Xenopus tropicalis: one gene and its partner. The protein of the gene in region 2 binds, or shares a complex with, the protein of the main gene of each other region. Links are inferred from orthologs where the notes say so. Each region holds a gene or a part of one and is shown on either strand. Other genes may lie near its edges.

Region 1 (6,410 bases), on a different chromosome or scaffold from region 2:
TGCAGTTTTTATAGTAAATTAACCCAAAATATTACATTAAATTACTTGCCATCTATGGCAAGAGTGGTCGGAATGATGAGTTGCTAGAGCAATCTACATGCCAATCCAATCTCTATGCCAATACCTCTATACCAACACCAGTGTCTGGGGCACCAAGGGCCCTCCAGAGAATCTGATACCAAGATCCCACCAAGAACCCTGGTACCCTCATGTTTGAGAAGTTAATTGTTCAAATTATTAAAAAATAAATGTAACATATTAAGTTAGCCTAAAAGGCACTGTTTTTGCCCACTAAATGCCAGTTCACTAAAGTCTATGGTAAACTTTAAAGGAACAGTAACACCAAAAAATGAAAGTGTTTTAAAGTAACTAATGTAATGTTGCCTTGCACTGGTAAAATTAGTGTATTGGCAACAGAAGCTCTACTATTGTTAATATAAATAAGCTGCTGTGTAGCCATGGGGGCAGCCATTAAAGCTGGAAAAAGGGAGAAAAGGCACAGGTTACATAGCAGATAACAGATAAACTCTGTAGAATATAATGGGGTTTTATCTGTTATCTGCTATGTAACCTGTGCCTTTTCTCATTTGAATGGCTGCCCCCATGGCTACACAGCAGCATTGTTTATATAAACTATAGTTGTCCTTCTAAGGCAAACACACCAGGTGTACCAATGCAGGGCAACAGTACATTATACTGTAATTACTTTTATACACTTTCATATTTTGGTGCTACTGTTCCTTTAAATACTCAGAGATATCACAGTGGCTGCTTCCAAAAAGACACTTTCAGGACTAATTCTGTATGGCTATCTGTGCTCTTCTGTGTGTTCTGTTTGTTGCATTATTGCTGTAAAAGAGCAATACAGTGGATACAGAAAAACTACAGAGGATAGCACAGACAGACATGCCAAACTTTTACAGCTCAGGCTATTGGGTTGTTTGAGGTATTAGCACAGACTCAGGCCTGAATTTGTGGCGAGGCCGCCCCGCAGCAACAAAATTTAGAAATTTCCCTCAAATATGGAGCAATGGGGACTTCTCCCCACTGCTCCGTATGGAAGTTTAAACTTGCGGTCGCGCGGGTTTGGGGGGGGGCGACAACTGGGGGAGCCCTAGGGGCGCCCAGATATGAAATTTGTGTATACTGACATCAGTTGCTAGAGAAAAAGCAGCACACTTTTATTGCTTTGCAGTGTATATAATAATAATAATAAAAAATAATAATTTTTTGAAAAAAATATAACATAAGCAGGTTTCAACCTCCCCCCAAAAACTAATGTGATTTCAAAGTGCAAAGCAATAACTGCCTAATCATAAACATTACATTGCTAAATGAATTGTTATAACAATAACAACTTTAATATATACATAATAGTTACACAAGAACTATTATGCACAAGGAGAAAATTGTTCACATTGTTAATATCTTTCTGCCATCAACTTTTATTACATTCCCCCAGTGTTGGCGGGCTTTGTAATTATTGTAAGCTGAATAAAAAGGTACTTACATTGTGAGTATGTGGTTGCTGTACCACTAACACTGAACCTATTTAGATGTAGTCTGTGTGTTACGACATTTTTCTGTGGTTGAAACAGGATAATATGAACTTTTGGCGCAAACAAGCACCCCAGAACTACAAAGCCACTCAGGCTTACTGAGATGCACATTGTTGTAGTTTGGACCTAAAATACAAAAAAAATGTTATAACATAAACTTCATTCATATCTATTCTGATATAGAAACATCATTAGAGTTTAAGGCTTCAAAAATACTTTAGGGCTCATTTACCATTTTTATGGCACAACTGCTCCATACACAGAGCACTTGCACCAGTATCTGGGGCGGATGTCTAACATAATGGGCAGAACTCTACTTCCTGCTTTCAGCTGTCTAAGCTGTTAGCCATCAGTAACCAGTCAGTGACTTTCGGTGGGGACATAACTGTTCAGTTGTTTGCATTTGAATCTGACCTGCGTGCTCACAAACTAACTGAACAGTTATGTCCCATGTGCCCCCCTTCCCCCTAAAGTCACTGAACAAAGAGGTTAGAGAGCTGAAAGCAGGAAGTAGAGTTCTGGCTATTACTTTAGACATCTGCTCACTCCAGCCTTCATAGATTACATTTTTGCCTAACTAACTATATTACAAATATATTTTATTTTGCACAGTCTGGCTATTTTGCCCAGTTTCATTTTTACACTGAATTGTTCCTTTAAGTCTGCTAAAAATGATTTAAGTTTTCATATTTCTTATAGTTATATGTTACATGCAAAACATTACGACTTTTAATTAGAGGTTAACATTTTCCTATGGGAAGCATGCATGTTTTTCTCATCCATAAACAACAGCATGCAGTTTATTTTGTGGCGTTATTTTTAACTGCTGGGCTCCTACAGAGATATTAGTCATAATACAGTGAGAAAAAAAGAAATAAATAGGACTATTGTACTTACTCTGTAGTCACTTGATGTGACATAAAATATAGGCAGGAAAGCAAGCCAAATAATGCAAGTTGTGTACATTGTAAATCCAATGAACTTGGCTTCATTAAAATTTTCTGGACATTTCCTTGTTTTGAAGGCATATACAGTACATAATATCACCAGGACCACATCATATGTCAGTGAAATTAGCATACTGGAATCTTTGACATTGCATTTCAATATAACAGTTTCTCTTTTTTCAGGAAGTGTATAGCGTCTTGTGCCAGGGAATTCCAACATGAGCCATACAGATACAACAACAATCTGAACTGAGATAAGACTGAGACATATGACAACTTGGGATTTGGGACTGATGAATTTTGGTCTTTGGGCACCATCCTTTACACCGCTGAATATCCTGGCAATGCGATTTGTCTTGGTCAGTAGAGCAGAATAACAAACAACAAAAGATGTTCCAAGTCCCAAACGTCGAAGGGTGCATATGACAGGAGAAGGTTTGGCTATGAAGAAAAATGTCATACAATAACACATAAAAACTCCAATCAAGAGAATATAGCAGAGTTCCCTTCCTGATGCCTTCACCAAAGGTGTGCTATTGTTTTTGATAAAGACTCCTCCAACCAGGCAAGTACATACAAATCCAAGGCATGCAATGGTCACTGGCCCTATTGCCCAGGCATCCTCCCACTTAATGTAATCTTCTGGTAGATCAAAGCAACTGGTTAGGTCAGCGGTAGGCCATCGTCCTTCCCCACAGTCAATGCATGTGAACTCATCAGCAAGGTACTCGTATTTCTCGCATGGGATACAAATCCAGCAGCATACATCTCCTGGTTGCATATTCTTCATTTCATTTGGAGCGCAGGGGTCACTACACTGTGATGTTGGAACCAAACTTTTTGACCACTGTATTATGTCAACATCCAGTGACAAGGTTTCTGCCCACTGGCCAATTTTCAGGTAGGAATATTTACCATTGTGATACTGGAAATTGAACACATTGTATAAACCAATTCCATCTCCATATGCATCAAATTTCACAATGCTGTCTGTATTACTGGGTGGTATAAAAGGAGCTGCCAAAACAAATGAGAACAAACGTTAAGTAACAGTGTTTAGGATATATTTATATATATATATATGTGTGTGTGTGTGTGTGTGTGAATGACAATTTCCTTGGTGACTAGTAAGCAACACATTCATATAGTCAAAGACAATAAATATCATAATCATTGTCTTAGAGGTGCTGTATCATGCATACATTGTTTCACTTGTTATATACTGTAAAATGTATGGTGCTCATTTACTGACAATTGGCAAAATTGGCATCTGTAAAGTAACCCATGGCAACCAGTCACTAAGTATCTTTGTTTATTCAGATGCAAGTGAAACAATGAAAACATACATTTAATTAGTTGCCATGTGTTACGGCCTGATGATAATTTGCCCAGTGTAAGTAAATGTGCCTCAGGCTTGGTGTGCATTTTCTGAAACATAAGGGAGTCTAAATTACAAATTGCTTTATTGCATCTAAATAGTGAGCAGCACCAACTACCGTACATGGAAGTGCAAAAAACGCATTTTGATGCAAGTACCATTTTATGAGTGTGGTTTAATGTACAACTCCCTGTGGGATAAAGAGAAATGAAAAGGTTAGTGTAGCTATGAGTAGATAAGCCAGTCAGAGAAATTGTGTAAAATGTGCCTCTGTGTGACACTTTGGGGCTGATTTACTAAGACACGATTTCGAATCCGAATTGGAAAAATTCCGATTGGAAACGAAAATTTTGCGACTTTTTCGGTAATTTTGCGATTTTTTCGTATTTTTTTCGTTTTTTTCGGCGTCTTTACGATTTTTGCGTAAAAACGCGAGTTTTTCGTAGCCATTACGAAAGTTGCGCAAAGTCGCGATTTTTTCATAGCGTTAACACTTGCGCGCAAAGTCGCGCCTTTTTCGTAACGTTAAAACTTAAAAGGCGCGACGTTTCGCGCAAGTTTTAACGCTACGAAAAAATCGCGACTTTGCGCAACTTTCGTAATGGCTACGAAAAACTCGCGTTTTTACGCAAAAATCGTAAAGATGCCGAAAAAATCGCAAAAGATACGAAAAAATCGTATCATTACGAAAAAAACGCAATCGGACGCATTCGGCCCGTTCGTGGGTTAGTAAATGTGCCCCTTAGTGTGATAGTTTATACATCCATACATGTGTATCTGTGTACTTTTAATTTTAAATCATTGCTCTGTTTGGGTCCCTTTTCTGTTTAGTTACAAAATGTATTATTTAAAGGGCTAGGAATTTTGGTTTTTCTGGACATGGAGTCTTTCTGTAGAGTACCATGTAATGGAGTACCATGGCTTAAGGCAATAAAAAACATAAAAAAATATGATGATGTTTTTGCATCAAAACAGATTTTATGCTAGCTTAGTTCATTTATCAGTCAAAAATGAAACATTATTTGTTAAAACTTCGCTCTATGGGAAATGGTACTACTGTATTTTTGAGCATTGCAGCTAATGGGTTCTATAAGAAATCCAATGTCATAGGAATGTACAGCACTGCATATTCAAATAGCAGTCTATAAATAGAAATCCCATGCCTGTACTATAGAAATGTACAGCATTGCATATTTAAATAGCACTCTATAAACACAGTGTATATGTATGCATACATACTATTGAAACATAAGATAATAAAAAAGTAATAAAAATAAAAAATAAAAAAAGTTATATGCAGGTGATAATGTAGTGTGAATGTAGCTTTTCATTCCCACAGTTTTTATTTTCTTACCACTTAGCTCTAATGCATTTAGTTCCATATTTAAGAAAAGAAATAAATTTGACTAAGAACTGTCACTTCCAAGTTATCAGTAACATAGCCCTTACTGTTGCTAAGACAGCTCTCTAAAGACAAATGCTACACAGACTGCGTACAGTTATTAGATGTATAACTGAAAATTGCATTCCATTCAATCTGTCACATCATCTCCAATCATATGATTACACCAAGACAGGTGCATCACTACAGAAGACTCTCAAGAAAACATGAAATTGTGCATATATTGTAAATATAGAAATGTATAAGACAAAAAGTAATGAATGAATTGAATCAATTTCCTCCGTGGCAGAAATGACAGGTGTTGAGCAGCAGCTGAAGAAATATTGGGAATTAAAAGTCTCTGCTCCAGTTCTGCACCCCTTGCTGAATAAAAAAAATCTGTTGTAAGGCGCAGACCACAGTGTCAGTTCCACCCTGTTTTCACAACCTGAATGCAGATGGTGTTGTATTCATCGAGTAGCCATAAGCCCCTGTGCTCCATTGTTTTCACTTTGCACACTGCCTTGCAAATAATGAGCCATATAAAAGACTTCACTAACTCCACTAAAGTGGCATATGCACTAAACGGGTGAAAAGCTTTCACCTGAAATTTATGCCATCTCTGCATAATTGTATATGTGGCAGATTATGTGAATCATTTTATGCCAAAATGTTATTTTTTACCTCGAATTAACCATCACTTGTTCATAGATCTGTCCCTAAATCAGCGTAGGGATCACTAAACATAAGTTGACTTGTAGCTTTTTACCTTACTAGGGTGATCCTCTGGGCTAATACCCTGTGTTTGTCCATCACCACTTTGTAATGCAATCTTTTTCTGCCAGAATGTTTCCTGTTAGCTTGAATAGGTTACGCCACAAATATAGCAATATGATGTTATGGTGTTGAATACGGTGATCATGCAGAATAAAAAAATACACGGCTTTATAAATATGCCATTTTCTGGCATAAATAGTATGATAAATAGGACCAAAGCATTTGATTTGATTGTTATCTTAATTTATTTTTTTGGAAACATAATTAGAAGTTATGGACTTCTTTATCATGTCATTTGCATTGTCTCTTATACCCAAAGATGTGTCTACCTAAATAAAATCTATCTATCTATTTATCATCTATATCTA
Region 2 (7,185 bases):
TTTTATTATTACAGAGAAAAGGGAATCATTTAACCATTAAATAAACCCAATAGGGCTGTTCTGCCCCAATAAGGGGTAATTATATCTTAGTTGGGATCAAGTACAGATACTGTTTTATTATTACAGAGAAAAGGGAATCATTTAACCATTAAATAAACCCAATAGGGCTGTTCTGCCCCCAATAAGGGGTAATTATATCTTAGTTGGGATCAAGTACAGGTACTGTTTTATTATTACAGAGAAAAGGGAATCATTTAACCATTAAATAAACCCAATAGGGCTGTTCTGCCCCAATAAGGGGTAATTATATCTTAGTTGGGATCAAGTACAGATACTGTTTTATTATTACAGAGTAAAAGGGAATCATTTAACCATTAAATAAACCCAATAGGGCTGTTCTGCCCCAATAAGGGGTAATTATATCTTAGTTGGGATCAAGTACAGGTACTGTTTTATTATTACAGAGAAAAGGGAATCATTTAACCATTAAATAAACCCAATAGGGCTGTTCTGCCCCAATAAGGGGTAATTATATCTTAGTTGGGATCAAGTACAGGTACTGTTTTATTATTACAGAGAAAAGGGAATCATTTAACCATTAAATAAACCCAATAGGGCTGTTCTGCCCCAATAAGGGGTAATTATATCTTAGTTGGGATCAAGTACAGGTACTGTTTTATTATTACAGAGAAAAAGGAAATAATTTTTAAAAATTAGAATGATTTGCTTATAATGGAGTCTATGGGAGATGGCTTTTCCGTAATTCAGAACTTTCTGGATAAGGGGTTTCCGGATAAGGGATCCCATACCTGTACTAAGTTAGCAGGGCCCTCCACCCTAGGGAGCCCCAATTATTTACCCACTGGGTAGAAGCATATCTACCCGGGGGGGGGCAGAACCCCTAGGCTCAGCCCCCCATGGTATGTGCATGGTAAGTTTCAGTGTGGAAATCTTGCCCACTATAGTTACCCCACTACCATTGGTCACCTAGACCCCCAGGGGGAGGATCCTGCCAACATGCGAAATGGGACCCCAATGAGAACACACACAGACACACCCCATATCCCAGTCCCGACCCATAAAGCTAAAACTGTGCCAACATTGCACCCAAATTTCACCCACTCCAAATAACCAATAACAATTTTATTTCTCTTGGGCCCCCCTGTGCCTCTTGATGGTACAAATATTGGGGGGCCCGGGGATTATGCCCTCACTTCCCTATGATGAAACCCTATGTGTCATGTTTAGCGCTGGGGGGTTTGGGCTTCAGGGACTGAGCCCCACACTGGGATAAAGGGAACACACCCGGGGCCCCTCCGGTATAACGAGGGTTAATGCGCCACGCCTACCGCCGTGAATTTGCTTCCAAACGCTAACAATGAGCAATTAAACTCCTCTTAATCCTCAAATATTTTGCCAGGGTGATAAGGAATCCTGCCAGCAATCCAACACCCGATGCCAGCTCTGTGCCCACATACAGTGCCAAGGTGCCGCCATGGTAACCTAATAAATGCACTCATATGACTGGCGGGGGGGCAAAGGCTCACCTGGGGGGGCAGTTATATAACAACTGGTTGGACTCCCCCTGTGCCCCCCTAATGGCCATGTCCCAGCCACTCCTGATTATTCCCTGACCATGTACTCTCATTGGCTCACCCAAGGTTAAAGGGGATACAAACCCTGCTGCCCAGCGCGGCTCAACCCAACGTTACTCAGTTGTTACTGGGCTACAAATCCCACAATAATGTAACATATAATGAAGCTTGGGGCATGCTGGGAGCTGTAGTCCAGCAACATCAGGGCTGTATTCTTAAAGCAATATTGCACAATAAAACTTTCCCCCAAATCCCCACAGCCAGCGACTGCTTTAACATGCGAAAAATCCTCCAATGAGAATCCCAGCTGATGTGAGTAAATCCGGCTCCCTGTTCTCTGTTCCTGCAATTGGAGTTGGGAGCAATAAGCACAGTTTCCCAGCACTGAACAAGTCTGTCCCTTTATCCCCATGTCTGATTCCTGTGCCATATAATGAGGGGAGAAAATGCCATCATTATCTCTATATGTAAGGTACCAGCAAGGGGCCTGACACAGTGCTGGGAATCAGCATTCTCACTGGGCAGTTCTTTTGCATTTATAATCAACTTATTTATCAGTACAATTCTCATTGGGGAATTTCCTTGCATCTGTAATGATGGTTTTTGGCAGCTTCTATAGCAAAACTAGGGGGCGCCGTGGGGCAGCATCATGGCTGGGTTTATATCACCATTAAATATACGGGGGGCAAAAATGCAGGATATTTGGCAGGTCCGACAGATGACTGGGCCACATGCTATCAGCAGGGCTTTCCCCACAATGGAGCCTGGGTTATTAGCCCCCCCGCCCACACACAGGCCCTGAGCCCTAGAATCCATGTAACCAAGGCTAGGTACATACATAGCAAAACCCCCAGTCTGCCCTGTTACCCTCTTACCTGCCCAGACCCCTGCCCATCTCACCAGCAAACCCTGTACCTTTTGCAGTCCTATGACAATGGCTATGGCCCCGTCCCTGCACTGTGATTGGGCCCCAGACCAGTCACCCCCCTCCCCTGCTGCTGAGTCCTTAATTGCACCCAGAAAGATACAAGTCACAGGGCCAATGGGCTCCCAGACTTCGAATAGAGGTTTTGGGAGCCCAATTATAGCACCCATGGGTGCCTGGTTATACAACTACAGCCTTGGATGGTATTAGAGCACCTAAATATCCAGGTCACTTCCAGTTGCCCCGGATTGGGCCAGCGGATAAGGAAGGTAATTACCCCAAAGGCTTCATTGCTCAGCCAAAGCGCCTTATATATTTATCCCACTCTCCCTAACGCTAATCCTCTTATCAGCCCTAATCTAATTATATGACCCCCACCCCCCCCCCGCCAGATTGCACATCCCACTGTCACTCAGCCAATGAATTGCCTCCATTGTGCTCTTGGGAACCAATGACCCATTGCTCTGTGCGGCCACAGTTTTATTGTTACAGCTCTGTAACTTTTCTTTCTATTCAGTCCCACTTCTATTCGTATCCCAGTCTCTCATTCCAACCACTGCCTGGTTGCTAAGATAATTTGGACCCTATCGACCATATAGCTGCTAAAATGCCAAGAGCCCCATTAAATGACATTATTGGCCGCACTATTGTGACGTCATTTCTGTATTCCAAGAGCTTCCCAGTGACACAAGTCCTTTAGGGGTTACGTGCCCAATGGGTTCCACTGGGAATGAGGTGCCAGTGCACAAAGGGTGCAAACTCTATACCAGAACAGGGCAGGGTTGTGCCAAGTTACGGGGCCCCCCTGCAGCCTATTACATATTTCTACATTTCATAGCATCCCCCCCCAGTTACAGCCTGTACACCTACCATCATCTTGCCTTACTATACACATTATGCCATAGTTAGAGCCCCTTCTCCTGGCACTGTAGCCCCTATGCCGAGTGCCATCTTGCCTACTATACACATTATGCCATAGTTAGAGCCCCTTCTCCTGGCACTGTAGCCCCTATGCCGAGTGCCATCTTGCCTTACTATACACATTATGCCATAGTTAGAGCCCCTTCTCCTGGCACTGTAGCCCCTATGCCGAGTGCCATCTTGCCTACTATACACATTATGCCATAGTTAGAGCCCCTTCTCCTGGCACTGTAGCCCCTATGCCGAGTGCCATCTTGCCTTACTATACACATTATGCCATAGTTAGAGCCCCTTCTCCTGGCACCACCTTACCTTATTCTGCACACTGTCCAGCACTGTAGCCCCTATGCCGAGCCCCATCTTGCCTTACTATACACACTATACTACAGTTACAGCCAATCCCTGAGGGTCCCTTTGCATACAGCTTGGGGGCCACACAAACTGCAGGGCACTAAAGGCAGCCCGGCCACAGAAAGAGGGGGCACTGCAAGCACCGGGCATTAAGGGGAATAACAGTGGGATTTGCTCATTAGAGGTAACACCCCGGGGGTCATGTTGGCACGAGGGGGCATCGCTGTGGGTGATTCCTTGTGCCCAGTCCGACACACATTGTGCCACAGACCTGTCCTTACTCACAGAAATACGTTCTCCATTGGCGCGGCCTTGTGGGCTTCCAGCTCCCCACAGCGGATTCCCAGCGGTGCCACCACGCAAGCAGGAACCGACTCCTCCAATACGGTTCTGATCCTTAGGTACGGGCTGTCAATCCACATGTAATCCATCTAGGCACCGGCATCACTGCAGCCCTGCCAGCCAGCGAGGTGTGCGACGGTCCCTTCCCTCTCAGCTCTCTCCCCCCCACTGATTCCTTTATTCTCTCCAATGGCAGCGACTACCCACGGGCTGGAATCTCAGCCGCTCTCTCGCTCTCTCGCTCTCTCTCAATCCAAGCAGCTGCATCAAAATTCTCCCATTTACTGTGTTATGCCCTGCGTGCAAGTCTGATTGGCTCGTGTCGTCATCGGCAGTACAGCGTGCCGCGGGCACAACACCAGCATATCAAATCTCTGCAGCCTCCCGCGGGTATGGGTGAGACCCTCCCCAGCCAGCGGGAATGCAGAGACAGAGATAGGGGGCCCAAATATTCCCCCCAGCAAAATGGCAACAGCAAGATACAATGGGGATTGTAAGATATGATGGAGACAGTGGGATAGGAAGAATGGTAAGATAGGGCAATGGTCAATAGGGCAAGAGGGCGACAGTAGGTCATGATGGAGACAGTAGGGCAAGATGGGGACAGTAGGACAAGATGGAGGCAGTAGGGCAAGATGGAGACAGTAGGGCAAGATGGAGACAGTAGGGCAAGATGGAGACAGTAGGGCAAGATGGAGACAGTAGGGCAAAATGAAGACAGTAGGGCAAGATGGGAGACAGTAGGGCAAGATGGAGACAGTAGGGCAAGATGGAGACAGTAGGGCAAGATGGAGACAGTAGGTCAGGATAGAAGCAGTGGGAAATGATGGAAACAGGACCAAAATAAAGAAAGTATGGCAAGATGCTTTAAAGGTGAATTAGCTTTGCTTGTACAACATATTTCCCAGGGCAGCCCAGTAAGCAGGGTTCCTATCTCTGCTGTTGGAATTAGAGTGTAGGCCTGGGGGAGAGGTGCATGTAGTCAGGACCAGAAACAGGCAAAATAAACAAAACAAAACACAATTCAAATAATAGAATACTTTGCCTTTAAATCATACAAATACAAAAACACATACAAGAGTATTATAAAAACAAAACCCCAAGTCTGGATGTGGGCCAAAAGCATCAATCTCTGGAGAAAATAGAGAAATAAATTCCGTTGAGGGGTTTGGGAATAGTCAGGGCGAGTGAACGTAAGGTCACAATCCATGGAGATGAATGTCTGGTTTATATTTTGGGAATAAAATCAAAGCCGCTAAATGTCATCCAAACGGGGAAACTATGGAGAGATATGCTGAAGTAAATTCAGCAAAAGAGCTCAGTGCCAGGCAGTGACTGCAAAAGCCAACAACAACTTCTGTTCCACATGCCATGGAGTTTTGCCCATAAATGCCATGTTGTGAGGCCTGGTCTAGTACACGGAAGGTATAAGCACCTTTGGGTGTCACCCCAGAAGGACCACCCAAAGGGAAACTATGGAGAGATATGAAAATAACACAGAAAAATACTCAGCAGAAGAGCTCAGTGCCAGGCAGTGGCTGCAAAAGCCAACAACAACTTCCGTTCCATATGCCATGGAGTTGTGCCCATAAATGCCATGTTGTGAGGCCTGGTCTAGTACGTGGTATAAACACCTTTGGGTGTCACCCCGCAAGGACCACCCAAAGGGAAACTATGGGGAGATATGAAAATAACTCAGAAGTAAACTAAGCAGAGGAGCTCAGTGCCAGGCAGTGGCTGCAAAAGCCAACAACAACTTCCGTTCCATATGCCATGGAGTTGTGCCCATAAATGCCATGTTGTGAGGCCTGGTCTAGTACGAGGAATAAACACCTTTGGGTGTCACCCCGGAAGGACCACCCAAAGGGAAACTATGGAGAGATATGAAAATAACTCAGAAGTAAACTCAGGAGAGGAGCTCAGTGCCAGGCAGTGGCTGCAAAAGCCAACAACAACTTCCGTTCCATATGCCATGGAGTTGTGCCCATAAATGCCATGTTGTGAGGCCTGGTCTAGTACGAGGTATAAACACCTTTGGGTGTCACCCCGCAAGGACCACCCAAAGGGAAACTATGGAAGGACCAACAGAAGTGGGTGTATTAATGCCCCTACCATATCAGAGAGTTCATTGGGTGCCAGCCTAGTGCATTGACCCAACCTGATGCGGGAACCCAAGGTCCAGGGTGGCAGTAGCTCCAGGGTTCCCCAGTGTGAATGGGCGCAATGGGGGCAAGAGGGATGTCTCGGAAAGCATGGGCAAGTGCAGGAACATGTTCATGCCTCCATGTATTGTCTCATTTCCCCTCTCCTGCCAACAAACACCAGTGGGGTTTAAAAACTGGGGGATAAATATTTGAGTGTTTCCATCGGCCTTACAATGACAAACATGTCTGAGGTCACAAAACAAATGCGGAAAGATTAACACCGCCGTCCAAAAAGGAATAGACTTGACTAAAGGCCACTGCGGAAGAACAACATGCAGGTTCTACAGGCTACTGCCTAGAGATCTATTGCCCCCAGTCGGGGCTGTTGGTTGCTAGGAACAAGTTTAGGGGTCCAGGGACTTGTCTTGTTGCTGAACAAACACCAAGCGGCGAGAGGGGGGCGCCGACGCTCAGCAGAGCCCGGATCGTTCTGATGTATGAGGCTCATTTCTCGTTGGTTTGAATTTCTAATTAAAAGTAAATCAAATCAGTGGGAACAAACAGGCAGCGAGGTCAGGCCAAGATTGGAGTAAGACTCGTCATAAATAGGATTGGGTGGGACACTCTATTGATTCATACAAAAACAGCATAGTAATACATTAAGCTGTGCAGAAGTAGGGAGTAATTAGCGAGTGTGCAGTAGGAGTAGGTACAAACAGCAGGACCAGCATGGAGTAGGGCAATAGCGTATGGGTTGAGGAGAGCACAGAGAATTCTGCATGAGTGTGGATTATAAGTAGTCATGCATAGGATGGGGTAATTAGTATGGAGTTAGAGTAATAATGCACTGCATGGGGTTGGATAGAGTTAGTAGTATGCATACTCCTGTGTAGGGAAGAGTAGAGGG

Evidence for each region. Proteins that work in one complex are often made in the same cells at the same time.
Region 1: the proteins of arrb1 (region 2) and grm3 are in contact, whole or in part, in a cryo-EM structure (PDB 9II2), measured with the Homo sapiens proteins. The link is inferred for Xenopus tropicalis from reciprocal best matches to the Homo sapiens genes ARRB1 and GRM3. Residues at the interface, in NP_004032.2 of Homo sapiens: Gly5, Thr6, Arg7, Val8, Phe9, Lys10, Lys11, Ala12, Ser13, Pro14, Tyr21, Arg25, Arg65, Glu66, Asp67, Leu71, Gly72, Leu73, Thr74, Phe75, Arg76, Lys77, Arg103, Leu104, Lys107, Pro133, Arg236, Phe244, Asn245, Thr246; in NP_000831.2 of Homo sapiens: Pro605, Lys608, Ala609, Ile669, Phe670, Asp671, Gly672, Val673, Lys674, Asn675, Ala677, Gln678, Arg679, Lys681, Phe682, Ser684, Cys761, Pro762, Glu763, Phe765, Val834, Val835, Thr836, His837, Gln855, Ser856, Ser857, Ala858, Ser859, Thr860.

What each region holds. Positions count from the first base shown.
Region 1 is NC_030679.2:81,082,389-81,088,798, reverse strand, and holds part of grm3 (metabotropic glutamate receptor 3), read right to left. Parts: intron 3,524-6,410; coding exon 2,457-3,523; intron 1,686-2,456; coding exon 1,511-1,685; intron 1-1,510. UniProt on the Homo sapiens protein: G-protein coupled receptor for glutamate. Ligand binding causes a conformation change that triggers signaling via guanine nucleotide-binding proteins (G proteins) and modulates the activity of down-stream effectors.
Region 2 is NC_030678.2:175,781,559-175,788,743, reverse strand, and holds the start of arrb1 (beta-arrestin-1), read right to left. Parts: upstream 4,568-7,185; 5' UTR 4,224-4,567; coding exon 4,078-4,223; intron 1-4,077. UniProt on the Homo sapiens protein: Functions in regulating agonist-mediated G-protein coupled receptor (GPCR) signaling by mediating both receptor desensitization and resensitization processes.